4 linked regions of the Anolis sagrei genome follow. The protein of the gene in region 1 interacts with the protein of each later gene in a pairwise test. Links are inferred from orthologs where the notes say so. Each region holds a gene or a part of one and is shown in the gene's direction. Other genes may lie near its edges. The genes, in order: EIF1AD, STX11, BEND7 and STAT1.

Evidence for each region.
Region 2: the proteins of EIF1AD (region 1) and STX11 interact in binary tests that used the Homo sapiens proteins (3 or more experiments, as listed by UniProt). The two-hybrid records come from large-scale screens. The link is inferred for Anolis sagrei from reciprocal best matches to the Homo sapiens genes EIF1AD and STX11.
Region 3: the proteins of EIF1AD (region 1) and BEND7 interact in binary tests that used the Homo sapiens proteins (3 or more experiments, as listed by UniProt). The two-hybrid records come from large-scale screens. The link is inferred for Anolis sagrei from reciprocal best matches to the Homo sapiens genes EIF1AD and BEND7.
Region 4: the proteins of EIF1AD (region 1) and STAT1 interact in binary tests that used the Homo sapiens proteins (3 or more experiments, as listed by UniProt). The two-hybrid records come from large-scale screens. The link is inferred for Anolis sagrei from reciprocal best matches to the Homo sapiens genes EIF1AD and STAT1.

The regions. Positions count from the first base shown.
Region 1 is NC_090032.1:22,011,705-22,019,279, reverse strand, and holds the start of EIF1AD (probable RNA-binding protein EIF1AD), read left to right. Parts: upstream 1-4,554; 5' UTR 4,555-4,653; intron 4,654-7,483; 5' UTR 7,484-7,575.
Region 2 is NC_090021.1:76,142,965-76,150,406, reverse strand, and holds the start of STX11 (syntaxin-11), read left to right. Parts: upstream 1-4,417; 5' UTR 4,418-4,472; intron 4,473-7,442. UniProt on the Homo sapiens protein: SNARE that acts to regulate protein transport between late endosomes and the trans-Golgi network.
Region 3 is NC_090025.1:92,913,290-92,920,343, reverse strand, and holds the start of BEND7 (BEN domain-containing protein 7), read left to right. Parts: upstream 1-4,049; 5' UTR 4,050-4,468; coding exon 4,469-4,529; intron 4,530-7,054.
Region 4 is NC_090021.1:182,695,490-182,703,478, forward strand, and holds the start of STAT1 (signal transducer and activator of transcription 1-alpha/beta), read left to right. Parts: upstream 1-4,970; 5' UTR 4,971-5,074; intron 5,075-7,989. UniProt on the Homo sapiens protein: Signal transducer and transcription activator that mediates cellular responses to interferons (IFNs), cytokine KITLG/SCF and other cytokines and other growth factors.

The DNA.
Region 1 (7,575 bases):
TTTATTTGGAAGGCTAATAATAATAATAATAATAATAATAATAATGAAGTCGAAGAACCGGATTCGGGACTCAGCAAGCAATGGGTTAGGAAGGTGATGATTATAATTATTATTATGATTATTAAGTATATATTTCAATTCAATCTTTCCAGTTTTTTTCACATAATAATATTTTTTGAAAATATATTTTAATTGAATATTTCCATTTTTTTCACAGAAATATTATTATTAAATAATGTTATTAAATTTTTATTGAATATTTCCAGATTTTCCTCATAATATTAATAATAATTTAAAATATATTTTAATTTAATATTTCCATTTTTTTCACAGAAATATTATTATTCAATATACTTTATTGAATATCTTCAATTTTTCACACAATATTATTATCAAAATTTTATCGAATATTTCCAGATTTTTCCCATAATAATAATAATAATAATAAAAATATATTTTAATTGAATATTTCCAATTTTTTTCACAGAAATATTATTATTAAATATGTTTTATTGAATATTTTCAATTTTTCACAAATTATTATTAAAATTTTATTGAATATTTCCCGGTTTTCCCCGTAATAATAATAATTTAAAATATATTTTCATTGAATATTTCCAATTTTTTTCACAGAAATATTATTATTATTCAATATATTTTATTGAATATTTCCAAAAAAATTTCACAGAAATATTATTATTATTGTTATTATTCAATACATTTTATTGAATATATTCCATTTTTCACACAATATTATTATTAACATTTTATTCAATATTTCCAGATTTTCCCCAGAATAATAATAATAATAATTTAAAATATATTTTCATTGAATATTTCCATTTTTTTTCACACAAATATTATTAAATATATTTTCATTGAATATTTTCCATTTTTTCACACAATAATCATAATCATAATGAAGCTGAAAAACAGGATTTGAGACCCAGCAAGTTAGGAAGCTGCATTATTGTTGTTGTTGTTGTTGTTGTTGTTATTATTATTATTATTATTATTATTATATTTTCAGGCAACAATAATTATAATTTTAATAATTTTAAATATATTTAAATTGAATGTTTCCAGATTTTTTTCAACACAATTATAATAATAATCATTGAAAATATATTCTTATTTAATATTTCCAATTTTTTTCCACACAATAATAATTATTATTATTATTCATATTTTATACTCTTATTGAATATTTCCAGATTTTTCCCATGCAATTATTATTATTATTATTTCAAATATATTCTTATTTAATATTTCCAAAAATTTTCCACACAATAATTATTATTATTCATATTTTAAATATACTCTTATTGAATATTTCCAGATTTTTTCCCACGCAATAATAATAATTATTTTAATTATATTCTTATTTAATGTTTCCAGATTTTTCAACACAATTATTATTATTATTATAAATATATTTTAATTGAATATTTCCAGATTTTTCCCATGCAATAATAATAATTATTATTTTAATTATATTCTTATTTAATGTTTCCAGATTTTTCCACACATTATTATTATTATTTTAAATATGTTTTAATTGAATACTTCCAGATTTTTCCCACATAATAATAATAATAATAATAATAGATATTTTAAATATATTCTTATTGAATGTTTCCAGATTTTTCCCACGCAATAATAATAATAATTATTATTATTTTAATTATATTCTTATTTAATGTTTCCAGATTTTTCCACACAATTATTATTCTTATTCTTCTTCTTATTATTATTTTAAATATATTTTAATTGAATATTTCCAGATTTTTCCCACGTAATAATAATAATAATAATAATAATAATAGATATTTTAAATATACTCTTATTGAATATTTCCAGATTTTTTTCCCACGCAATAATAATTATTATTATTTCAATTATATTCTTATTTAATGCTTCCAGATTTTTCCACAGAATTATTATTATTGTAAATATATTTTAATTGAATATTTCCAAAAACATTTTTGCACAATCATAATAATAATTACTATTTTAAATATATTTCAATTGGATATTTCCAGATTTTTTTCCCACAGAATAATTTAAAAAATATATTCTGATTGCATCTTTTCAGATTTTTTTCACATAATAATAATAATAATAATAATAATAATAATAATCAGCCTAACGAATACTATACCATTCCCTGATGCGATATTAATATTCAAATGCACACATAGGCTAATTAAGAAAGCTAACTCAATGCAACACTCGCTTTCCTGCACTAAACATGGATTTTTAATATTTATTTAAAGTATTTTTTCGTCCTTTTGGTTTTTTTGGTTTTTTTTTTTTTTTGCTAATTAATGGAGAGTTAATTATATATGCAAAATATTGAAATATTTCTTCCCGGATGAAGAATGCTGAACTATGTTTTCTAGTTGAAATAGAAGGGTTATTTTTCTAGAAACGGAAAAGATTTCCCCCCAAAAGTTGTGGAAGCTTTTGGTTTATTCTGTTACTTCCGTATTTTTCTGCACTAAATAAAATGGACTGTTGTGACCCGACTTTGTGAATATCTATTTGTTATGATCTCCCAATATGCTGATGATAACATTGTCTGTGCTCATTCAGAAGAAGACCTACAAAGTCTGTTATGGAACTCCAATATGCCGATGATAACGTAGTAGCTAACGTAGTAGACTTTGTAGGTATTCTTCTGAATGTGCATAGACTACGTTATCATCGGCATATTGGAGTTCCATAACAGGCATTGAAAGTCTTCTTCTGAATGTGCACAGAGTATGTTATCATTGGCAAATTGGAGTTCTATAACAGACATTGTAGAAGTCCCAATATGCCAATGATAATGTAGTCTGTGCTCATTCAGAAGAAGACCTACAATGTCTGTTATGGAACTCCAATATGCCGATGATAATGTAGTCTGTGCTCATTCAGAAGAACTACAAAGTCTGTTATGGAACTCCAATATGCCGATGATAAAGTAGTCTGTGCGCATTCAGAAGAAGACCTACAATGCCTGTAATGGAGCTCCAATATGCCGATGATATCGTAGTCTGTGCGCATTCAGAAGACTTGCAATGTCTGTTATGGAACTCCAATATGCCGATGATAACGTAGTCTGTGCACATTCAGAAGATTTGCAATGTCTGTTATAGAACTCCAATATGCCAATGATAATGTACTCTGTACATTCAGAACACCTATGTTAGTTATAGAACTCCAGTATGCAGATGATAACGTCGTCTGTGCGTACTCAGAAGACCTACAATGTCTGTTGTGGAACTACAGTATGCCAATGATAACGTACTTTGTGCATTCGGAAGAAGTCCTATGTCAGTTATAGAACTCCAATATGCCAATGATAACATACTCTGTGCATTTGGAAGAAGTCCTATGTGAGATAGAACTCCAGTATGCAGATGATAATGTAGTCTGTGCGCATTCAGAACACTTACAATGTCTGTTATAGAACTCCAATATGCCGATGATAACATAGTCTGTGCGCATTCAGGAGAAGACCTCCAACGTCAGTTATAGAACTGCAATATGCCGATGATAATGGACATTCAAAGTTGGTTATGGAACTACAGTATGCCAATGATAACGTAATCTCTGCACATTCAGAAGAAGACCTACAAAGTCTTGTGGAACTGGTATGCTGATGATAACGTAGTCTGTGCGCATTCAGAAGACTTTCAACTTCTGTTATGGAACTTAAGTATGCATTCAGAATAAGACCTTCAACGTCCGTTATAGACCTTCAATATGCCGATGATAACGTAGCGTGTGCGCACTCAGAAGACCTAAAATGTCTGTTATGGAACTACAGTATGCCAATGATAACGTAATCTGTGCACATTCAGAAAAAGACCTACAATGCCTGTTATGGAACTCCAATATGCCAATGATAATGTACTCTGTGCATTCGGAAGAAGTCCTATGTGAGTTATAGAACTCCAGTATGCAGATGATAATGTAGTCTGTGCGCATTCAGAGGAAGAAAGCCTACAAGCCACTCTCAACACCTTTTGCAGAAGCGTACGAGAAGCTCGGCCTCTCCTTGAACACCAAAGTGTTCTGTTATTACTATTATTATTATTATTATTAGTAGTAGTAGTAGTAGTAGTAGTAGCATTATTAAATAGAATAAAATCTCTATGTATATCCACACACAAACATATACACATATCCATATATAACAACATCTGTTATAGAACTCCAATATGCCAATGATAACGTAGTCTGTGCGCACTCAAAAGACCGACAATGTCAGTTATGGAATTCCAGTATGCTGATGATGACGTAGTCTGCACATTCAGAAGACTTGCAATGTCTGTTATTGAAAGTGTTCTGTTATTATTATTAGTAGTAGTAGCTTTATTAAATAGTATAATATATATATATATATATATATATATATATATATATATATATATATCCACACACACATACATATATCCATATATATATATAATAATTCATTCCAAGTGTCTCTGGAAAGAAGGGCGGAACCTTTGAGTGGCGGAACCTTCCGTCTGCGCCGCGAGGAGCAGGTAGGAACCTTATGGGGACCGGACCGGAAGTGGTGCTTCCCTTCTCGCCGGAAGTAGGAAGTGCCCGCTTCTCGTGCTTCGCGAAGGGGAGAAGAAGGCGCCCGTTCCCAAGCAGGTGGGCCTCGAGGAAGGGAAGAGGGAAGGGAGCGGCGTAGAGGGAAATGTGGGGTTCCCAGGCGGGGAGAGTGGCGTAGAGGGAAATCTAGAGGAGGCCTCGCCTCTCCTGAAGGCCTCGGGGGGGAACCCGGCACTCTGCACATGCTCAGGAACACCCTTTTGGGGCTCAGGAGAGGGAGGAACTCAAGGAACTCCTATTATTAGTATTATTATAACTATTTTAATGGAATATTTCCAGATTTTTTCACACAATAATAGTAATAATAACAATAATATAAATGTTAAATATATTTTGATTATTTCTTGTTTTTCTCCCATAAGATTATTATTATTATTATTATTATTATTATTATTTTAAATAGATTTTAATTGAATATTTCCAGATTTTTTTTCACACAGTATTATTATTATTATTATTGAGGTATATATATTATAATTTAATTCAATATTTCCAGATTTTTACACACAATAACAATAATAATAATACTATAAATGTTATTATTTTAAATAGATTTTAATGGAATATTTCCAGATGTTTTGACACATTATATATATATAGTTATTATATAATTAATATAATTTAATTGAATATTTCCAGATTTTTTCACACAATAATAATAATAATAAATACTATAACTGTTAAATATATTTTATTATTTCCATTTTTTTCCATACGATTATTATTATTTGAAATAATTTCATTGGAATATTTCCAGATTTTTTCACACATAGTTATTATTGTTATTATATAATTAATATAATTTAATTGAATATTTCCAGATTTTTTCACACAATAATAATAATACTATAAATGTTAAATATATTTTGATTATTTCCAGTTTTTTCCCCATAGGATTATTTATTATTTTAAATAGATTTTAATGGAATATTTCCAGATTTTTTTTCACACAATAATAGTAATAAAAATGTTAAATATATTTTATTATTATTACTCTATTTTAATGGAGTATTTCCAGATTTTTTCACACAATAATAATAGTAATAATAATAGTAATATTATTATTATTATTATTATTATTATTATTAACTTTATTTGTACCCCGCGAGCATCTCCCGAAGGACTCGATGCGGCTTACACAGGCCGGAGCCACAACACACAATACAATAGAAAACATAACAAGTAATAACAAAGCAAATCAACATCAAAAGCGAAACAAATCAAAAATTAGCAAACAGCAATAACAATACATCAAGACATATTAAAAATTGGTTCGGCCGGCGAAAGGGTACATGGTTAAAAGTGCTGAAAATGGCAGGAGGGGCATAGGAATTTAAAGTACGGTGTGCAGCAGTATTAATTGTACTAAAGTGCAATTATAATAGTAATAATAATAATAATATAAATGTTAAATATATTTTATTATTATTACTCTATCTTAATGGAGTATTTCCAGATTTTTTCACACAATAGTAATAATAGTAATAGTAATAATAATAATAATAATAATAATAATATAAATGTTAAATATATTTTGATTGATTATTTATAATTTTTATACGATGATTATTATTGTTTTAAATAGATTTTAATTTAATATTTCCAGGTTTTTTCACACAATAATAATAATAATAATAATAAATATATTTTGATTGAATATTTCCAGTTTTTTAATACTATTATTTTAAATAGATTTTAGTTTAATAGTTTAGTTTAATTTAGTTTAGTTTAATATTTTGAGATTTTTCACACACACACTATATGTCTGACTATCTATCTATCTATATGGAATAGATTCAGATTTCTCACACTATATATATACATATATATATATATATATATATATATGGAATATTTCCAGATTTTTTACACAATTATTTTTATCTATCTATTTTTCTAAATGGAATATTTCCAGATTTTTCACACACTATATATATGTATGTATGTAAGTATATATATATGGAATATTTCCAGATTTTTCACACAAGTATATTTATCTATATGTCTATCTATCTATCTAGTATCTATCTATATGGAATAGTTTCAGATTTCTCACACTATATATATATATATATATATATATATGGAATATTTCCAGATTTTTCACACAATTATTTTTATCTATCTACCTACCTACCTACCTACCTACCTATATAAATGGTATATTTCCAGATTTTTCACACACACACTATATATATATATATGTATATATGTATATATGTATGTATATGGAATATTTCCAGATTTTTTCCACACACTATGTATGTATGTATGTATGTATATGGAATATTTCCAGGTTTTTCACACAATTATTAATATATGTGCGTGTGTAATATTTCCAGATTTTTCACACAAGTATTTTTATCTATCTATCTATCTATCTATCTATCTATCTATCTATCTATCTATTTTTATATATATAAATGGAATATTTTCAGATTTTTCACCCCTATTATATGTGTATATATGTGTATGTATATATATATATGTATGTGTGTGTGTGTGTGTGTATGTAGGTATATGTATGTATATATTATATATATATGGAATATTTCCAGATTTTTCACACAAGCATTAATATATATATGTGTGTGTGTGTGTGATATTTCCAGATTTTTTCACACATTATTATGAATATATAAATAATATATTTTATTGAATAGTTCCAGATTCATTTTTTTCACACAATTAGTATCATTATTGATATTTTAAATATATATATTGAATTTAACATTTCCAGATTTTTTTTACATAGTAATAATAATAATTTTACATATAATTTAATAGAATATTTATTATTATTATTATTATTATTATTATTATTATTATTATTATTATTATTTAATCTATGCAAATATATTCCCTCCAGCTTTTCCCGAACTGTGAATGTACCAAGGAGTGAAATCAGCACTGGATCCACCATCCTTGAACTCGGATGACCTTGACTGTCCCTGGAAACAG
Region 2 (7,442 bases), on another chromosome or scaffold:
GGGGTGGGATTGATTTTGTCATTTGGGAGTTGTAATTGCTGGGATTTATAGTTCACCTACAATCAAAGAGCATTCTGAACTACACCAACGAGGGAATTGAACAAAACTTGGCACATAGAACTCCCTTGAACAAGAAAAAATACTGGAAGGGTTTGGTGGGCATTGACCTTGAGCATTGGAGTTGTAGCTCACCTACATCTAGAGATCACTGTGGACTCAAACAATGGTGGATCTGGACTAAACTTTGTACGAATACTTAATATGCCCAAATGTGAACACTGGTGGAGTTTGGGGGGAAACAGATCTTGACATTTGGGAATTGCCGTTTCTGGGATTTATAGTTCGCCTACCATCAAAGAGCATTCTGAACCCCACCAATGATAGAACTGGACCAAACTTCCCACACATAACCCCCATTACCAACAGAAAATACTGTGTTTTCTGATGGTCTTTGGTGACCTCTCTGACACACCCTCATGACCCCCCAGGGGTCCTGATCCTCAGGTTGAGAAATGCAGATCTAGAAGAAAAATAAAATAAATTAACAGTGCAATTGTAAGAATCAATGTATTTTACACCTTAGTGATGGTTCATCTTAGGGTTCCCATAAATGACTTGGGGCTGGATCCAAACTCAGGCATGTGCAACTGGGCTTGAGAAAATGGATTTCATTGTCCTCCCTGTCCCGCTTGAAATACTGAACCCATTAGTGCTCCAGATGGGAGAAAACCTCAGAGTGGGATGGGCCGCATGGTCCCTAAAAATCAAGTAAAATGAACACAGCAGTGCAGTGAGCAGAGGGCACATTTTGATGCATCCCTCAAGAATGGGTCATTTCAGGACCTGAGAGGATACCTTTCCCATTACTTGAGCTTCTTAAAAGCACATGCTGGGATTAAGACCTTCTGGTCTGTTCCTGGTAATTTGTTTTTGTTGTTTCATAAAGCTGTCAAAAATGAAATACAACACCCAACCCAAATTTAAAGTTCAGATATTTTTTTTGCTGAGCATCAGCTCTGGCCCTGCACTTAGGCAGGGTGCGGCAGCTTTCCTAGATGGAACATTTTGTTTATTCTGGAAGGGTGGCTCATTTCTTCATGATTTTACTTGATGCCGCTGGATCTTTATTGCTAGAGATGAAAAGAGGTGGCTACGGATTTCCTGCTCCATAGGCAAAAATAATTTACTAGTAGTACTATGCAATTTGACCTGGAGGTGGGGTGGCATTTGCTACTCAATCTCAGGCAGAAAAATGGCCCCATTTCTTCAAACAAACAACAGCTGTTAAAAAAGAAAGGGTGGATATGTGAATGATTGGGAGCATGTTTTTTATGGATTGTAGCTGTGTTGGCTGGAAGGTTCTGGTAGAATCAAAGAGTTGGAAGAGGCCAGGGGTTATTCAATCCAACCCCCTGCATGTAGAAAAAGCACAATCAAAGCACCCCCGGCAATGGTCTTCTGGCCTCTGTTTAAAAGACTTCAAAAGAGCTTCCCCCAGACTCCAAGCAAAAACTTCCACTGTTGAACAGCTCTCAGGTTCAGGGAGTTCTTCCTAATGTTTAGGTGGAATCTCCTATCCTGTAATTTGAACCAATTGTTCTTCAGGTCAGCAAAAAACAAGTCTACACTCTCTTCCTTATGACATCCTTTTAATTATTTAAACATGGTAATCATGTCACCTCTCAACTTTCTCCTCTGCAGGCTAAACATACCCAGCTCTTTAAACCATTCCTCATAGCGCATGGTTTCCAGGCCTTTGATCATTTTAGTTGCCCTCCTCTAGACACATTTCAGCCTGTCAATAGCCCTCTTGAATTGTGGTACTGAATTGGACACAGTTTTCCAGGTCAGGTTTAACCAAAGCAGAATAGAGAGGCACCATTGCTTCCCTTGGCCTTTTAATTGCTGCATAACATTGTTGGTTCATGTTCAACTTGTGATCTACTAAGGCTCCAAGATTTTTTGCACATGGACTGTTGCTGAGTGAGGCCTCACCCATCCTGTATCTGAGCATTTCATTTTTTTTCTCCCTAAGTGTAGTATCCTACATTTCTCTTTGTTGAAATTCATTTTGTTAGTTTTTGCCCAGCTCTCGAATCTTTTAAAGTCACTATAAATCCCGATCCTGTCCAATAAAACATAGGCAAATGCTGATGGTAATGTACTTCAGTACCTCCTAGGACAATGCTTCCCAGCCTTTGCTCTTTTATGTGTTTTGGACTGATGCTATTTTCTTAGAAATACAACCTAGCAGACCATTTTGTTTGCTTAGTCTATTGATGCTCAAAATGCATACAGCTTTGCCCTAGGTTTTAGTGGCTTCAAAGGTACCTTTGGTCCTTCGGGTATTTTGGACTTCAGTTCCCAAAATTCCTGACAATTGCCTAATGGCCCTTCCAGACAGGGCAAAATCTGAGAGGAAGTGGGTTATTTAAACCAACTTCTTCCTGGGTTTGTGTCCCCACCCCCAACCCAAACCCTGGGGTTTTCTTTAGGTGGTGGCTAAATGCCATTCCGGGTCAACCAATGGTTGACTTGGGATGGCATTCAGTTCCCCTCCAGCCCTCCATTTCCCCAAAGAACCCGTACCTGAAGGGTCTGCTGGCAATGCAGGCCCCTCTGCAGAGTACTCCTGACAAGTGAAAATGATGTGTTGGGGGGGGGGGTAGCTGGGTGGGAGGGAAGTTGGAAAATACAGAACATATTAGGAAAATCCCAGTTTTCTCCAGATTAATTTGCTTTTATCTGAGGTGTCATTTGGATGCCTCAGGAAAAACCAAGACAAGTCCCACATTTTGGGCCTGTCTGGAAGGGTCCTAAGGATTGTAAGCTGACTGTGGCTTCTGGGAGATGATGCCCCAAACATCTGCAGAAACAAAGGTTGAAAGCCACTATGCTAGAAGACAGGCTCTAGGAGTGCATCTACACCAGTGGTTCCCAACCTGTGGTCCATGGACCACCAGTGGTCTGCAAGAACAAAAATATGGTCTTCTGCGGCCTCACCATTACTACACTATTGCTTTGTAACCATGCGGCAATGACAGCGACTGGTCTTGCGAAACCCTCTTATAGTGCTGAGGCAACAGGGATGCCGGGAGTGGAGAGGCTGATTACCCACAAAAGATTACTACTACCATATCATCCCTAGATTATTAAATATGGTTTTCTGTGGGCAAGCAGATAGTGACTACTGGATGGCATATGTTTTGTACTGGAAACCAGAGCTGATGTCGTCTATCCAATGCAATTTTCTGAATATGCACCCCAAATAACTAAACCAAATCTAAAGTTGACCAAAAACTGTTTCGTAACCCTTTTGGTACTAATGTTGGAGAGTGGTCCCTGATCAAAGTGGTCCCTGGTCAATCTACTTGATAGATTGTTACGAGTTTTAATTTAATTGTTTATATGCTTAGATTGTTTACATTTTTATGAGATGTGATTTATTGTTTACCTGTGTGGCATCAAATTTTTGCCGAACTTGTAAGCTGCCTTGAGTCCCCTCTAGGGTTGAGAAAGGCAGGGTAGAAATGAAGTAAGTAAATAAATCATAAAGTGGTTCTTGGTCAAAAGAAGGTTGGGAACCACTGATCTACACTGACCAGATAATGTAGTTTGACAGTCCTTTAACTGGAATGGCTCAGGGCTATGAAATTATGGGAGTTGTAGTTTTAGAAAGTTTGCATAAGAGTGCCAGTGTCTCACCAAACTTCAGATCCAAGGATTCTATAGCATTAAGCCATGGCAGATGGAAGTGGTGTCAAGCTACATTGATCAATATACATAGATCAACATACCCCTGTAGTCAGCCAACTACAAATCTCATGACTCCATAGCATTGAGCAATATAGATACCCCTGTAGTCAGCCAACTACAAATCCCATGATTCCCTAGGATTGATCAAGATAGATACCCCTGTAGTCAACCAACTACAAATCCCATGACTCCCGAGCATTGATCAAGATAGATAATATCCATGTAGTCAGCCAACTACAAATCCCATGACTCCCTAGCATTGATCAAGATCGATACCCCTGTAGTCAACCAACTACAAACCCCATGACTCCATAGCACTGAGCCATGGTAGTTGAAGTGGTGTCAAGCTGAATTGAGCAGTATGTAGATAGATACACCTGGCTGTAGTCAACCCCTGGCTATGCACTGATGCTTGGGGCAAAACTTCCAGGAATGTGGGCAGGCACCGGCATCACCATCCTGGAGAAGTCCCCTGGAGGCACAGTTCTTTCCCAGGCAGCCGGACAGACCTGTCAGCCTTCTCTCTGCCTGCTTCCCATCACCTGCCTCATCCCCTTCGGAGTGGGCGGGGCCATGGAGAAGGGGATCTGCGGCGACCAATGGGCTTCGCGGAGGAGGAGCCGGGGGCGGGGCGAAGCGAGCCTGGCTGGGGACGCGGGAGGGAAACGGGGTTGGCAGCCCGGTCAAACGCGCCTCTGGGAGCCGAGCCGCAGGAGGTGAGTCCTTGCCTTCGGGTTTCTTCTTCTTCTTCTTCTTCTTCTTCTTTCCTTGCTCTACCTTTCATGGAGATGAGGGTGGCTTTCTCTTTGGTTCAAACTTCTGGCTGAGTTAGAAGGGAAGTTTTAGTGGGTAAAGTTCTATGAGTTGCTATTATTATTATTATTATTATTATTATTATTATTATTAGGAGCCCCTCGGTGGCTCAGTGGGTTAAACCACTGAGCTGTTGAACTTGCTGACCAAAAGGTCGGCGGTTTGAATTCGGGGTGAGCTCCCGCTGTTAGCCCCAGCTTCTGCCAACCTAACAGTTTGAAAACATGCAAATGTGAGTAGATCGATAGATACCACTCTGGTGGGAAGGCAATGCCGCTCCATGCAGACATGCCAGCCACATGACCTTGGAGGTGTCTACAGACAATGCCGGCTCTTTGGCTTAATAAATAATAATAATAATAATAATAATAATAATAATAACTTTATTTGTACCCCGCCTCCATTTCCCCGAAGGGACTTGGGGCGGCTAACATGGGGCCAAGCCCAAGCAATTACAATAAAACAAAATAAAATACAAGACGCATGACACCATCAAATAAAAATGTTTATGTAATAACATAATATGCCAATAGAAATGACTTATTAAGGTCGTAGAGATGAGCGCACACACACACACACACACACCCCAAGTCAAACACAACTAGACTTAATGTCAAGGGAAAACTTTTACCTTTACTTATTATTATTATTATTATTATTATTATTATTAGAAACACAACAAGATGAGTCCACAGCAGACAAGATCATTCTGCTGGCTGTTGTATTGGATCACACGTCGGACACTTCCCAAGTATCTAGGACTGTTTGATGTATCGGTGAATAATGCGTGCAGATCCCAGTACAGTGGCCTTTTGCAGCTGGCAGATGGTAATTTTGTCAGCGTCGATTGTATTTAAGTGCAGGCCAAGGTCTTTAGGCACTGCACCCAGTGTGCCGATCACCACTGGGACCACCTTTTCTGACTTGTGCCAGAGTCTTTGCAGTTCAATCTGTAAATCCTCATATCGTGTCAGCTTTTCCAGTTGTTTCTCTTCAATCCTGCTGTCACCTGGGATTGCAACATCAACAATCCATACTTTGTTTTTTAACACGATCATGAGGTCAGGAGTATTGTGCTCCAAAACTCTGACAGTATTATTATTATTATTATTATTATTATTATTATTATTATTATTTTGATGGGTTGGTTGAGCAATCCTTATCTGGGATTACAAAATCCTCTAACATTGAGACAGTGAGAGCTTTTCTTTCTGGTGGTTCAATGTACAGAAAACTTGGGGTGCATCTTTGCTATAGAACAGGCATGGGCCAACTTGGGCCCTCCAGGTTGAGAAACGCTGCTCCAGGTGTTTTGGAGTTTAACTTCCACCAGCTTAAGCGGCTGAGGGAGAAAAGGAAAGGGACTCAGGATGGTAGGAATGGTGGGAGTTGAAGTCCAAATACCTGGAGCAGTGTTTCTCAACCTGGGGGTCGGGACCCCTGGGAGGATCCCAAGGGGATGTCAGAAGGGTCACCAAAGGCCATCAGAAAATACAGTATTTTCTGTTGGTCATGGGGGTTCTGTGTAGGAAGTTCGGTCCAATTCTATTGTTAGTAGGGTTCAGAATGCTCTTTGATGGTAGGTGAACTATAAATCCCAGCAACTACAATCCCCAAATGTCAAGGTCTGTTTCCCCCCAAACTCCACCAGTGTTCACATTTGGGCATATTAAGTATTCATACAAAGTTTAGTCCAGATCCAACATTGTTTGAGACCACAGTGATCTCTTGATGTAGGTGAACTACAACTCCAACACTCAATGTCAATGCCCACTAAACCTTCCAGTATATTTTCTTGTTCATGGGAGTTCTATGTGCCAAGTTTGGTTCAATTTCCTCGTTGGTGTAGTTCAGAATGCTCTGTGATTGTAGGTGAACTATACATCCCAGTAACTACAACTCCCAAATGACAAAATCATTCCCCCATCCCCAACTCCACCAGTATTCAAATTTGGGCGTATTGGGTATTTGTGCCAAATTTGGTCCAGTGAATGAAAATACATCCTGCAATATCAGATATTTACATTACGATTCACAACTCTAGCAAAATTACAGTTATGAGGTAGCAAGAAAAATAATTTTCAGGTTGGGGTCAGGTCACCACAACATGAGGAACTGAATTTAAGGGGTCACAGCATTAGAAAGGTTGAGAAACACTGACCTGGAAGGAGGGCCCAAGTTGGCCCATGACTGATTCATATGGTGTCTTGGACTGAAGGCAGCTCACAACATATTAAAATAGCACAGAGTAAACCCAGTAACAAAGTCATCTGAAGTATAAATATAAGATTTTTTTAAAAAAAAAAACACATGCTTTACACATTGAAATAATTAAAAATATAAAAATGCCTTAAATCAATTCTATACAAACCCCTTAAATTTTAACACCACCATCACACAGAATTAAAAGCCCAGTCTTGTTCAATATGCAAAGGCTGGTAACACAACAATTCTTCCACTTGCAGGGATGAGCTGTCTCCCTTGTCACTACCAACTGAGCCTAAGAAGGTAAGGGGATAGAGAAGGACTCCTGTAGTTGTAATAATGGCTAGAGAGATGTAAAAAGCTCTTCTTTGGGGAATTACATATTTATTTTCAAGTATCAACCTGTATATGTTTTCGCACTGCAGCTGTCATTGTGTCTGCTTAGCTAGGGCTGGTGAGAGTTATAGTGCAACAACATCTGGAAGGGTCACAGCTGCATGCCCTTAAACAAGATAGTGTTTTGTTGACTTAGTAAGAAAGGAGTCCCCAGTGGTGCAATGGGTTAAACCCTTGTGCCAGTAGGACTGCTGACCAAAAGGTTGGCGTTTCGAATCCAGGGAGCAGGGTGAGCTCCCGTCTGTCAGCTCCAGCTTCTCATGTGGGGACAT
Region 3 (7,054 bases), on another chromosome or scaffold:
CTACAAGCCACTCTAAACACCTTCGCAGAAGCATACAAGCAGCTCGGCCTGTCATTAAACATTGAGAAAACCAAAGTGCTCTTCCAGCAGTCACCAAGCAATCCTTCTCAAATGCCAGAAATAAAGTTTAATGGTGTAACATTAGAAAATGTTGACAATTTCCACTATCTTGGCAGCCACCTCTCCACAAAAGTCAACATTGACACTGAAATTCAACACCGCCTGAGCTCTGCGAGTGCAGCCTTTTTCTGAATGAAGCAGAGAGTGTTCGAGTACCAGGACATCCGTAGGGATACCAAGGTGCTTGTTTATAAAGCTATTGTCCTCCTAACCCTGCTATATGCCTGTGAGATGTGGATTGTCTACAGACATCACATGCAACTCCTGGAACGATTCCATCAGCGGTGTCTCTGGAAAATCCTGCAAATCTCTTGGGAAGACCAGTGGATAATGTCAGCGTGCTGGAAGAAGCAAAGACCACCAGCATTGAAGCGATGGTCCTCCGCCATCAACTCCGCTGGACCAGCCATATTGTCCGGATGCCCGACCACCGTCTCCCAAAGCAGTTGCTCTACTCCGAACTCAAGAACGGAAAATGGAATGTTGGTGGCCGGGAAAAGAGATTTAAAGATGGGTTCAAAGCCAACCTTTAAAACTGTGGCATGGACACCGAGAACTGGGAAGCCCTGGCCCTTGAGCGCTCCAGCTGGAGGTCAGCTGTGACCAGCAGTGCTGTGGAGTTTGAAGAGGCACGAATGGAGGGCAAAAGAGAGAAACGTGCCAAGAGGAAGGCGCATCAAGCCAACCCCGACCGATACTGCCTTCCACCTGGAAGAAGAAGAAGATGCAGATCAAGAATTGGGCTTCAGAGTCACCTCCGGACCCACCGACAGAACACCGACCTTGGAAGACCATCATCCTTGGACTATGAGGGATCATCTAAATAAGTAAGTAAGGCAATGAAGGTACACAACAACAATCGTGACATGGCTGGGTGTGTCATTTCCATCTCTGACTGAGGCAGAAAAATATGCTTGGTCTGCCTTGACGTTGATGTTGAGGAATTTAGGAATAAATTAAGTGTAAATCTACTAGTCAGCTTGTTTAGCCTATCTCCTGACCTATCAAGTTAGGCATGTTTCATGCCCAACTCAATGCTATGAATATTTACTCATAAGAAAGTTATACGGCTTCCCAAGAGGGCCGGCCCTGGTTAGGTTTCTGGGATCGAAATCAGAAAAAGACAGGCAATAAACAAGACACATTGCAGCCAAAAACTCCAAATAAGACTTCTTTATGGCCGATGTTGAACTCATCTTAATCTTTTAAATCTCTCTTTGCAAAATTAAACTCCTTACGGGTTTTAATTGTCTGTAGTTGTGGCAATTTGTGTGCCTTAATTTCATTTTTGAGTAAACAATACAGCTTAAAAGTATGTATATATTTCCCTCTTGTCGCCATATCTAGTCACACAAGAATTTGGAATATTAAAAGCCACTTTTAAACTGAGGTGAGAAAACAGAATATATACAGGGAGGAGGGAGCAAGCTTGTTTTCTGCTTCCTTGGAGACTAGGACACGGAACAATGGCTTCAAACTACAAGAAAGGAGATTCCATCTGAACATGAGGAAGAACTTCCTGACTTTGAGAGCCGTTCAGCAGTGGAACTCTCTGCACCAGAGTGTGGTGGAGGCTCCTTCTTTGGAGGCTTTTAAACAGAGGCTGGATGGCCACCTGTCAGGGGTGCTTTGAATGCAATATTCCTGCTTCTTGGCAGGGGGTTGGACGGGATGGCCCATGAGGTCTCTTCCAACTCTATGATTCTTCAACTGTAAGACGCACCTCGATTTCAGTAACACCACCAGCAACAAAAATATATCTGATACACCCACGTCCTAAGATGCTTCCCATTTGTAGATATGTTTATACAGGCAGTCCCCAAGTTACAAACAAGATAGGTTCTGAAGGCTTGTTCTTAAGTTGAATTTGTTTGTAAGTGAGCACATTTTAAGTGCAACTCCAGCCAAATATAGAGCCCAAACTATAGCCCCCATGACTCCTTAGCATGGTGCCAGAGAAGTCAAAGTGGATTCATTCTACAGCAGAGATGCACCCCAAGGTTTTATTTTTCCATTGCTGAAAGCTTTGGTGTTCTAACACTTTTGTTTTGAAAGAAGGAATTTTGAGCAGGCAGCCACTGTAACGTGTACCTTTTGGGGCCAAATTACAAAGAGTGCACTTTTGTGCTGCTGTGCATTACAATAATTTATTTTGGTTTCAGGGTTTTGGAAATTGAGGTGCGCACTAGATTTGCTGGTGCAAAGTAAATGCAGGATGATTGTAAGCTGTCTAGTTTACAATCATCAATGTTCTGGGAATGATATATATCATTTAGTGTGTTCTATTTTGTCTTTTTCTTGAGATAGAAATATAGATATGGTGGAACCTCTACTTAAGAGCACCCCAACTTAAGAGTGTTTTGAGTTAAGAACCATAAATGGGCCGATGGTTTCACTCTGACATACAAGTAGCATTTTGAGTTAAGAGCTAGTGCCAAATACTGGGTTTTAAGGCTTCAAGGGAACAGCCTCTGTGCCTTGTGCCGCCGTGCTTCCTGCGCTTTTCTGCTTGTGATTGCGATCCCCTTTGCTCTTATCTGATTTGGACACAGAGCTCCCATGACCAACAGAAAATACTAGAAGGGTTTGGTGGGTATTGACCTTGGGTTTTAGAGTTGTAGTTCACCTACATCCAGAGAGCACTGATGCATCTGGACCAAACTTGGCACGAATACTCAATATGCCCAAATGTGGACACTGGTGGGGTTTGGGGAAAATAGACCTTGACATTTGGGAGTTGCAGTTGCTGGGATTTATAGTTCAGCATTCTGAACTCCACCAATGATAGAATTGGGCCAAACTTCCCACACAGAACCCCAATGACCACCAGAAAATACTGTGTCTTATCATTGTCTTTGGCGACCCCTTTGACACCACCTCGCGACCCCCCCAGGGGTCCCGACCCCCAGGTTGAGAAACACTGTCGTAGATGGAAAAAGGCCTGTTTGCTGGCAGCAGCGACCTGAGCCTCCATCGTCAGCTGCGAATCCAAAACGACACCTAGGCTCTTAACGGTAGGCGATGGAGATAGAGAAGGTAGGTAACGGATGGGTCGGACCTATCGGGTGGCCATGCCAGAGAATCTCAGTCTTTGCCGGGTTCACCTTCAGTCTGCTAGCATGTAGCCAGTTCGGCAGAGCCTCCAGGCATAAGGTGAAATTGTCAGGTATTGACGTTACTCCAGGCTCCAAGCGCAACAAGCTAAACATGCCCAACTCTTTAAGCCGCTCCTCATTGGGCTTGTTCTCCAGACCCTTGATCATTTTAGTCACCCTCCTCTAGGCATGTGAACGCACTACTTCGAATCCAAGTCTCCAGGGCAGTAGAAAACAAACCTGCTCCCTCTTCCTTATGGCATCAGTTTTTAACATCAGTAGAAATAGCTAATATTAACATAAATCGCTCGAGGGGATGTCAAGAAGCGGCCTGAGGTAACTCTAACTGAAAGGCCGTTCATGGCGAGAGAGAGGGCTGCTTCCTTCCTGCCTTGCTTGTACCGGGGATTGAGGCGCGCGACGCTGCCCTAGTGGGCAAAAAGGGCGCGAGGAAGCGGCTGAGGGGGCACGAGCCATGGCCTCCGTCAGGGCGCCGCACTCCTTCCCTCCCTCTCTTTCTCTCTCTCTCCCTCAGGTGGATGGGATGGAGGGCACAAAATGGCGCTGCTCCCTCCCCCTCCCAATGGCCCGGGCTCTGAGGCAACCCCACGCCCCCTGTCAGGGACAGACAGGGAGGGAGAGCCAGGCAGCGAGCGGTGTGCCCGCCCTCGCTATTAGCAGCCATGACACTCTGCTCTATCTCCCCCACTCTGTTTCCTCCTCCTCCCCCTTGGGGCCCACAGCCGCCGCTGCGTCCCCGGCCTGGCGTGGGCTGCCCAGCCGGCCTGGAGGTGGCAGTGGCGGCGGCGGCGGCCTTTGGGCCCAGCCTCCCGCCGCGGGGCGTGTGCCTCGGCTCTCCTCCTCCCCAGCAGGTGGCACCGGGCGCCCAGTCACCACCACCGCCGCCTCCTCCTCCTCCTCCCCATTGATTCGCCTCCCTCTTCCTCCCGCCCCCTTCCTCCCTTCCTTCCCTCTCTCTCCTTCAGAGGAGGAGGAGGCGGAGGGGACGGCAGCCCCTCTCCAAAGTTTGGAGCTGGATGCGGGCGACGCGGGGAGGCGAGGCGAGGGAAAGTCCGCCGCCAACTTGTCCCGCTTGGCCCTCCTTCCTCCTTCCTTTCTGCCCATTACAGAGACGGACCTTGGTCTCTCTCTGGCGGCTGGACCCTCCTTCCTCCTCTTTTCTCCTTCCTCCTCCTCGTCGCACTTGATTCCTCCTGCCTTTCTTCTTCCTCCTCCTCCTTCCTGCTCGCACTATGGAGTTTACTGAGAGGAAAAGAAGCAGGAAATCCCAAAGCTTTAAACTGATAAATCAAGGTAAGGAAAAAGGGGAAAAAAGGGGGGGAAGGGAGAAAGAGAGACTGGGAGAGAGGAAGGGAGGTCGTCGTCTGTGTGACATTTCCTTTTTGTCTCTGGGAAATAAAACAAGGAAGACTTCTAGATACAGAGAGTTTGGCAACCAGGATGTGTGACCCTTCTACACCTGAATAAAATCCCACAATATCTGCTTTTAACTGGGATATATGGCAGTGTGGACTCAGATAACCCAGTTCAAAGCAGATTTTGTGGGATTTTCTGCCTTGATATTCTGGGTGGAAGGGCCCTATGTGTCCTTCCTTTCAGTCTCATTAGGATTATTTTAACTATTTAATAATCTTGGAAGCGGTGTTTTTGCGTGTTTTTATTTATTCAGAATCGGCACTTTTTTCTCAGGGAGCCAAGACATCAAATGTGAAAGTTAGGTGGCACTTCCTGGTCAATGCAATTTTCAAGAAGAGGCGAATCAGGAAATCAGCCAGACAATGATATTTATGGCCCTTCCACACAGCCATATAACCCAGAATATCAAGGCAGATAATCCACAATATGTATTTATTTATTTACGACATTTCTATGCCGGCCTTCTCATCCCGAAGGGGACTCAAAGCAGCTTACAAGATATATATCCGTACAATATGTTATATTATTAGCCTAGTACAGTGATGGGCAACCTTTTGAGCTTGGTGTGTTAAAATCTGCCAAAAACCTGACCATAACTTGGGTGGAGTGTCAACTTCGAGAAAAAAAACCCCATAACTTTGCAATATTTATAGTTTAAATAAGAAAAATGTATATTCCATGCTGAGTTATGGAGTGAACAATGCTCAAACATGCAGATGTTAAATTTGTAGAGCCTTTTACAAATTTAAGGATGGAATTCAATTGGCCCTTATAAGGTGTACTTCTCTATATGCGGCCGCATGTGGCTGCGTGTCATGAAAAATAGCCATGCGTGTCAGTGCTGACACACGTGTCATAGGTTCACCATCACGGGCCTAGTACAATATCAGTATTAACTATGGAGCCCCCGGTGGCGCAGTGGGTTAAACCCCTGTGCCGACAGGACTGAAGACCGACAGGTCGCAGGTTCAAATCCGGGGAGAGGCGGATGAGCTCCCTCTATCAGCTCCAGCTCCTCATGCGAGGACATGAGAGAAGCCTCCCACAAGGATGATAAAAACATCAAATCATCCATGCGTCCCCTGGGCAACGTCCTTGCAGACAGCCAATTCTCTCACACCAGAAGCGACTTGCTCCTGACACGACAAAAAAAAGTACTAAATATTACTATATTGTACTATACCATTATATTGTAATATTATTAGTAATATTACATGTAATACCGTATATACTCGAGTATAAGCCGACCCAAATATAAGCCGAGGCACCTAATTTTACCACAAAAAACTGGGAAAACATATTGACTTGAGTATAAGCCAAAGGTGGGAAATACAGCAGCTACTGGTAAATTCCAAAATAAAAATAGATTCCAATACTATCTCATTAACTGAGGCATCAGTAGGTTAAATGTTGGGTTGTTGTAGGTTTTTTCGGGCTATATGGCCATGATCTAGAGCAGGGGATCCACAAACGTTTTACCAGAGGGCCAGGTCATAGTCCCTCAAACTGTTGGAGGGCCGGATTATAATTTGAAAAAAAATATATGAATGAATTCCTATGCAAAGTGCATGTATCTTATTTGTAGTGCAAAAACACTTTAGAACAATACAATAATTAAAATGAAAAACAATTTTAACAAATATAAACTTATTAGTATTTTATTGGGAAGTGTTGGCCTGCTTTTGGCTGATGAGGTAGGGTTGTTGTTGCTTTGTGCTTTCAAGTCGTTTCAGACTTAGGTTGACCCTGAGCGAGGGCCAGGTAAATGACCTTGGAGGGCCACATTCGGCGCCCGGGCCGTAGTTTGAGGACCCCTGTTCTAGAGGCATTCTCTCCTGACGTTTAGCCTGCATCTATGGTTAAATGTTTTTGAATATTTACATAAAACTGTAATTTAAGATAAGACTGTCCGACTCTGATTAAACCATGATACCAACCTTTTTCAGTGTAAATGTTTGCACATCCTTTCAGTAATAAAAGAGTAAAATAATAAATGTAATAATAATAGAGCAAAGTAATAGAAATGTAATAATAACAGTAATAATAGAGTAAGATAATAAATGCAATAATAACAGCAATAATAAAGTAAAATAAAAAATGTAATAATAATAGAGTAAAATAATAATAATAATAGAATTAAATAATAAATAATCTTGACTCGAGTATAAGCCGAATGGGACTTTTTCAGCCTAAAAAAGGGTTGAAAAACTAGGCTTATACTTGAGTATATACTTTATTTTATTTATTTTATTATTTATTTAATTATTTTATTTAGTACATTTCTATACCGCCCCTCTCAGCCTTTCGGCGACTCGAGGCGGTTTACAAGGCAAGAATTCAATGCCACCAAGGACACAATTGCAATATACAATATTAAAACATCAGCAACAATAAAATCAAAC
Region 4 (7,989 bases), on another chromosome or scaffold:
TCGTTAGCCAAATTATATGCTGCTCTCTGGCCCCTTCTACAGTGCCATATAAAATCTAGATTATCTGCTTTGAACAGGATCATATGGCAATGTCGTATAATCCAGTTCAAAGCAGATAATCTGGATTATCTGGTAGTGTCGAAGGGACAACAGATAAGTAAATGAAATCAGTTGATATCTGAAATGGAGTTGGTATTAATGTTTCTGCTGGACATTTTTGTGTGAATAAGAGGATGTTCCTGGTGTTTCATCAAGTGTCTTGGCATATGAAGATAAATAAAAACTGACATATCACAAAGACTTTGTGAAAGTATTTTGAGCACTCCCTAGTCTTTAAATGTTCAATGATAGCTTTGAACATGTGATAAATCTCCATGCTGTCACTAGACATATTTCTGGCTGCAATTTTGAATCCTTACCATAGGACCAGGAAGGGACAGACTGATTATTTACATCAGAGGGTGAATCTGCACTGTAGAATTAATACACTTTGGCACTACTTGAACAGCTTTGGCTCAATGCCTTGGAATCTGGGAGTTGTAGTTTGGTGAGGCTCAAGGACTTCTTGGCAGGACTTGGTTAAAACCACAACTTTTATGATTCCATAGCACTGAGCCATGGCGGTTAAAGTGGTATCAAACTGCACTAATTCTACAGTCTAGATGCACCCAGAGACAGGATAGCCCTCCACATGTTTTGGATGGTGATTCACATCACCCAGACCATTGGTACTAATTGGTGTTGAAATGCAGCTCACGTAACTTGTCAAATTGTTTAGTGTGCTTTTAGTCTCTTCACACTGCTTTCTTTGGTTCTACGTTTTTAAAGATCTACTTATATTGATTTTGCTTTTATTATTACCCTGACATCTAATGATACAGGGTGCAATGTATATTAGCTCAACCAATGCAAATTATTAAAGTTTACCTTGCACGCCACTGTTTGTGTGTATGCTGGCAAGGGAAGGCATTCTGCACATGCTCAGAGGATTACATTTTGTCTGCACGATCCCGTGTTCTCCAGCGGCAGCTCCATCCTTGCAAAATGACACATAATGTAACAATTTTTTCCCTGGGTTATAAATGTTATTTCCTAATTGGAATTATGATAAAAAAAACATGGAAAAGGTTTGTTATTTGTTTTTGCAGGACATCCTGCAGTACATTTTGCTATAGTTTTCCAATGAATATCTCATACGGTCTCAGCCAATTCAACATTGTCTGTGGCAGCCACAAAAATGAAGTTTCTCGGGTATAGCAACTACTTTCAAAGCCCCCTTCCACACAGCTGAATAAAAAACCCCATTATCTGCTTTGAGCTGGAATATATGGAAGTGTGGATTCTGATAACCCAGTTCAAAGCAGATATTGTGGGATTTTCTGCCTTGATATTCTGGGTTATATGGAGGTGTGGAAGAGCCCAAAGTAAGTTCTGCACAAGTAAACAGGAAATAATGCTTTCAAACCAAGAACAGAACATTTTTCATTTTTTTTCCAAACAGTGTAATCATTGAACTGTTTGCTTCTCCTGTGTGCAAATCCTATCCCATGGACACAATAGATTTATGCTAGAAAGACTTAAGTCACTGATGCATTGGCTATGATGATGATGATGATGATGATGATGATAATAATAATACAACAGCCAGCGATCTTGTTTGCTGTGTACAAATCTTGTTGCATTTCTAATAATAATAATAATAATAATAATAATAATAATAAAGTCAACGACAGATCCCAAGTGTAGACTCTGCAAGGAAGCAGAGGAAACAATAGATCACATCTTCAGCTGATGCAAGAAGATCACTACAAGTAGAGGCATAACACCGTTGCGTAGATGATTCATTCGAACTTGTGCCACAAATACCATCTGCCTGTGACAAAGAACTGGTGGAATCACAGGCCGGAAAAAAGTTATAGAAAATGAACACACCAAACGCTTTTGGGACTTCTGAATTCAGACAGAGTTTTGGAGCACAGGACTCCTGACCTCACGATCATGTTACAAAACAGAGTGTGGATGTTGCAATCCCAGACGACAGCCGGATTTAAGAGAAGCAACTGGAAAGGCTGACACAATATGAAGATTTAAAGATTGAACTGCAAAGACTCTGGCACAAGCCAGTCAAGGTGGTCCCAGTGGTGATCGGCACATTGGGTGCAGTGCCTAAAGACCTTAGCCTGTACTTAAACACAATTGATGCTGACAAAATTACCATCTGCCAGCTGCAGAAGGCCACCTTACTGGGATCTGCACGCATTATTTGCCGATACATCACACAGTCCTAGACACTTGGGAAGTGTCCGACGTGTGATCCAATACAACAGCCAGCAGAGTGTCCGCTGTGGACTCATCTTGTACTGTTTCAAATAATAATAATAATAATAATAATAATAATAATAATAATAATACACAGTCCTAGACGCTTGGGAAGTGTTTGATACGAAATCCAGGATATAGATCTCATTTGCTGTGACATACTGTATTTTTGTGTCAGTAAAATAATAATACCATTATTTATAAAGGTATTATTATTGCCCCTCTAGCCGAAGATTTTAATATATTTTTTTTAAAAAGGAAACTCATGGGTACTCTCTAATATAAGGTTACAATATCTTAAGGCCCTCCCAGACAGGCCCTCTATCCCAGGACCTGATCCCAGGTTTTCAGTTTATCCCAGATTATCTGGCAGTGTGGACTCATATAATCCAGTTTAAAGCAGAAAACCTGGGATCAGATCCTGGGATAGAGGGCCTGTCTGGTGCCCCTTCCACACAGCTGAATAAAATCCCACATTATCTGCTTTGAACTGGACTATATTGCAGTGTGGGATCAGATAACCCAGTCCAAAGCAGATATTGTGGGATTTTCTGCCTTGATATTCTGGGGTATAGGGCTGTGTGGAAGGGCCCTGAGCCTAGAAGCCTGAGCCTAGAACCCTTCCGCTTCCTCCGAGCCAGATCTGCAGGTGGATCCTCCCTCCCTCCCCCTCCCCTCCCGGGGATCCTTTTTAACTTTCGCTTTCTCTGCCTGAGGCTTTTCCTCTACAAGCCTCTGTTTCCCAGAAACCACGTGGCGGCGGCTGTTCCCTGGAACGCGCCACCTCCCTCCCCTGCCCTTGCGGCCACTGCTCTCCCCCCCCCCCCCCCCGCGCTCTTAGCTTTTTTTTTGTCTTTCCAGGAAAATCAGGAGAATTATTTTTGTTGTCAGGCCAGGAAGACTTGTTGCGGTTTGCAAATGTTTACCTTGACAGCTCCTCAATGCGAGTTCGAGCCTTAAGAAGAGGCAGATAAATAATAATTATTATTATAATTATTATAATTATTATTATTATTAGTCAGCGCCAATTGTGTTTAAGCACAGGCCAAGGTCTTTAGGCACTGCACCCAGTGTGCCAATTCTGATTGTGTTGGTCAGTGACTGGATCTCAATTTCTGATTTTCCTTAAAGCTGTAGATCATCCATATACAACAAGTGGGACATTTTTGGTGAATTTCTTGCTGTTTGGTAGCCCAGATTTGTTGTTGTTGTTGTTATTGTTGTTGTTATTTTATTTGAAACACAACAAGATGAGTGCACAGCAGACACTCTGCTGGCTGTTGTATTGGATCACACGTTGGACACTTCCCAAGTGTCTAGGACTGTGTGATGTATCGGCACAGATTGTATTTAAGTGCAGGCCAAGGTCTTTAGGCACTGCACCCAGTGTGCCAATCACCACTGGGACCACCTTGACTGGCTTGTGCCAGAGTCTTTATACTGTGTGATGTATCGGCGCCAATTGTTTTTAAGTGCAGGCCAAGGTCTTTAGGCACTGCACCCAGTGTGCCGATCACCACTGGGACCACCTTGACTGGCTTGTGCCAGAGTCTTTGCACTTTGATCTTTAAATCCTATTATTATCGGACACTTCCCAAGTGTCTAATACTGTGTGATGTATTGGCGCCAATTGTGTTTAAGCACAGGCCAAGGCACTGCACCCAGTGTGCCGATCACCACTGGGACCACCTTGACTGGCTTGTGCCAGAGTCTTTGCACTTTGATCTTTAAATCCTGTTGTTGTTGTTGTTGTTGTTGTTGTTGGGTGTATACTACTCTGACATCACTTTAACTGCCATGATGGAGCAATACTATGGATTCACGAGAGTTGTAATTTTACAAGATCTACAGACCCCAGGACTCCATAGCATTGAATCATGGAAGTCATGGGAGTTGCATTCCAACAGAAAGTTGCTGTTTTGTATCTGTTCCCATGCATGCGACATTGAAGGTCCCATGTTGTTGTTGTTGTTGTTATTATTAATGTTTATATTTTAATAATATAATATTAACATAATATTACAATATAAGAAATCCTCATCATGGTAATTTTTGACTAAACATAAGGGAAATCCACCCTGGAAATAAAAATAAATGTATTCATTCTCAAAGGCTTTCATGGCCAGAATAAGTGGATTGCTGTGAGTTTTCTGGGCTGTAAGGCCATGTTCCAGAAGCATTCTCTCCTGACGTTTCACCTGCATCCTCAAAGGCTGTTGGAAACTAGAAAAATGGGGTTTATATATCTGTGGAATGTCCTGCACACCCTGGACATTATTCCACAGATATATATCACTTGTTCTAGTTTCCAACAGACCTCACAATATCTGAGGTTGCCTGCTTTAGATGCAGGCGAAACGTCAGGAGAGAATGCTTCTGGAACATGGCTTTACAGCCTGGAAAACTCACAGCAACCCATAAATGTCTATGTTTTCAGGCGCGGATGGAAGGATTTTGGCCAAAAAAAGGTAATAAAACTAAATTAAACTGACAACTCTGCTGTTTGCATCAATGACAAGCCAGAAGAGGGAGGAGGAGAAGTTGCAGGAACAGCGGTATTCCATCAAGAGGCGGCGGTCTTTCCGGATTGGTTGAGCCTAGCTGCCAGCCTCTTTTTGATTGGTCGCCTGCCTCTCGCAGTTTGCTATTTCCTGGTCAGAGGCAGTTTCGTTTTCTACAGAAGCAGAGAAGGAAGGAAAGGAGAGGCAGTGCTGCTGTGGTTGTGTGTCCGATTGTGGAGTGGGAAAACTGTGAGGTGAGTGCTGCACCTACCTTTTGAATTAATGCAATTGGATCCCCTCTCCTTTAATTGCTATGGGGTGCATCTACACTGGAGAAAAATAATGCAGTTTGGCACTTCTCTAACTGACCAGGCTCAGTTCTCTGGAATCAGGGGAGTTGTAGTTTTGCAAGGTCTAAAGCTTTCTCTGCCAAAGAGTGCTGGTGCCTCACCAAACTACAAATCCAGGCATTCCTTGAGCCATGGAAAGTGAAGTCAAACTGCATCCATCCTGCAGTATAGATGCACTCCCAGTTCAAAGCAGATAATGTGGCTGTGTGGAAGGGCCCTTAGACTTCCCTCAGGGCCCTTCCATACAGCTACATAACCCAGAATATCAAGACAGAAACATCCCACAATATATTCTTTGAACTGGGTTATCTGAGTCCACACTGCCACATATCCCAGTTCAAAGCAGATAATGTGGGACTTTATTCAGCTGTGTAGAAGGGGCTTCTGGTCCCATCTACACTGATACATAAAATCCAGGTTATCAATGCAGGTCATCCACATTGTCTGCTTTGAACTGGATTATTTGAGTCTACACTGCCATATATTCCAGTTCAAAGCAGATAATATGGGATTGTATTCAGCTGCGTAGAAGGGGCTCCTGGTCCCATCTACACTGATATATAAAATCCAAGTTATCAGTGCAGTTCATCCACATTGTCTGCTTTGAACTGGATTATCTGAGTCTACACTGCCATATATTCCAGTTCAAAGCAGATAATATGGGATTTTATTCAGCTGTGTGGAAGGGGCTCCTGGTCCCATCTACACTGATATATGAAATCCAGGTTATCAATGCAGATCATCCACATTGTCTGCTTTGAACTGAATTATTTGAGTCTACATTGCCATGTAATCCAGTTCAAAGCAGCTAGGCTCAAAGCAGATAATCTGTATGCTGTATGGAGTGTTGCAGAGGCATCAGAGATCTGTTAGTTCTTAATGAATGTAGAGATGTCTGGGTTGTTGTAGGGTTTTTGGGCTATGTGGCCATGTTCTAGAGGCATTCTCTCCTGACGTTTCGCCTGCATCTATGGCAAGCATCCGCAGAGGTAGTGAGACCTCTGAGGATGCTTGCCATAGATGCAGGCAAAACGTCAGGAGAGAATGCCTCTAGAACATGGCCATATAGCCCCAAAAAACCTACAACAACCCAGTGATTCCGGCCATGAAAGCCTTCGACAATACATTGTAGAGCTGTCTTTTCATGACATCTGGTCGCCCATTTAAGATTACCTGCTTATCCCAGCCTTTCGTATGTTCTACTTTCTTGTGTTCCAGGGGCATGTAATTGCCAAATCCAACTTTTTGGAGTACATTTATTTTTAATGTTCATATTTCATGCAGATGGCAGGTGTGGCATTCTGGGGTTGAGCAGCCTTGTCAAAGCATCAGTTATTGTTTTCAGAGAAGTAGCCTAAAAGGAGAAAGGGAGGAGTACAACAACTGGTACACGGCAGAATCTTTAAGACTGATTTTTTGGATATTCATGAAGGACATGTGTCAGATAAGAATCATTTGATCTTAAAGGTGCCACCTATATGTCTTTCCCCTCCTTCCCTTTTCTTGTTATTTGCCTTCAAGTGCAGCCAGACCTTTGGATAATCTCAAAACAGGTTACTCTTGGCAAGAACTGTTCCATGTGTTGCCAAAGGCTTTCATGGCCAGAATCACTGGTTGCTGTCATTTTTCCAGGCTGTTTGGCCATGTTCCCGAAGCATTCCCTATTGACATTTTGCGTACATCTATGGCTGGCATCCTCAGAGGTTGCGAGGTTTGTTGGAAACTAGGCAAGTTGGGTTTATATATCTGTGGAATATCCAGGGTGGGAGAAAGGACTCTTGTCTGTTGGAGGCAAGTGTGAATCTTGCAATTGGCTATCTTGGTTAGCATTTAATAGCCTTGCAGCTTCAATGCCTGGCTGCTTCCTGCCAAGGGGAATCCAGAAAACACCCAGAAAATTGGAATTCCAGATATGAAACAATCAGAGCCAGCTAACACCTCCCAACAAAGGATACACCAGTCAGGAAGCAGCCAGACTTTGAAACTGCAGGGCCATTCAGTGTGAATCAAGGTAGCCAGTTGCAACATTCACACTTACCACAAGCAGACAAGAGTTCTTTTTCCCACCCTGGACATTATTCCACAGATACATAAACCTCACTTGCCTAGTTTCCAACAGAACCCTCAACCTCTGAGGATGCCTACCATAGATGTGAGTGAAACTTCAGGAGGGAATGCTTCTGGAACATGGCCAGATATCCCCGAAAACTCACATCAACCCAAGATCTATTCCGATGTCCACCTCTGAATATATAGTCTTGACCACTTTCTGTTCCCTGCCATTTATATATATATATATATTGTCATGTCAGAAGCAACTTGAGAAACTGCAAGTCGCTTCTGGTGTAGAAAATTGACTGTCTGCAAGGACGTTGCCCAGGGGATGCCTGGATGTTTTGATGTTTTTAGCATCCTTGTAGGAAGCTTCTCTCATGTCCCTGCATGAGGAGCTGGAGCTTAGTCCCCTTCTACACAGAAGAATAAAATCCCACATTGAACTGGAATATATGGCAGTGTGGACTCCGATATGCCAGTTAAAGCAGATATCATGAAATTTTCTGCCTTGATATTCTGTGTTATATACTACTGTGTTAGATACTACTGTGTTAGATACTACTACTGATGCATGTTTCTGAGTCAATTATTCTTTTCATGGGTGATTGTAATCCTGGATCAATTTTGTAATCTAGACAAACAACAAAACAGTCCTGTGGCAATAATAATAATAATAATAATAATAATAATAATAATAATAAATGTTTATATTTTAATACTATAATATTAATATAATATTAAAATATAAAAAATCCTCATCATGG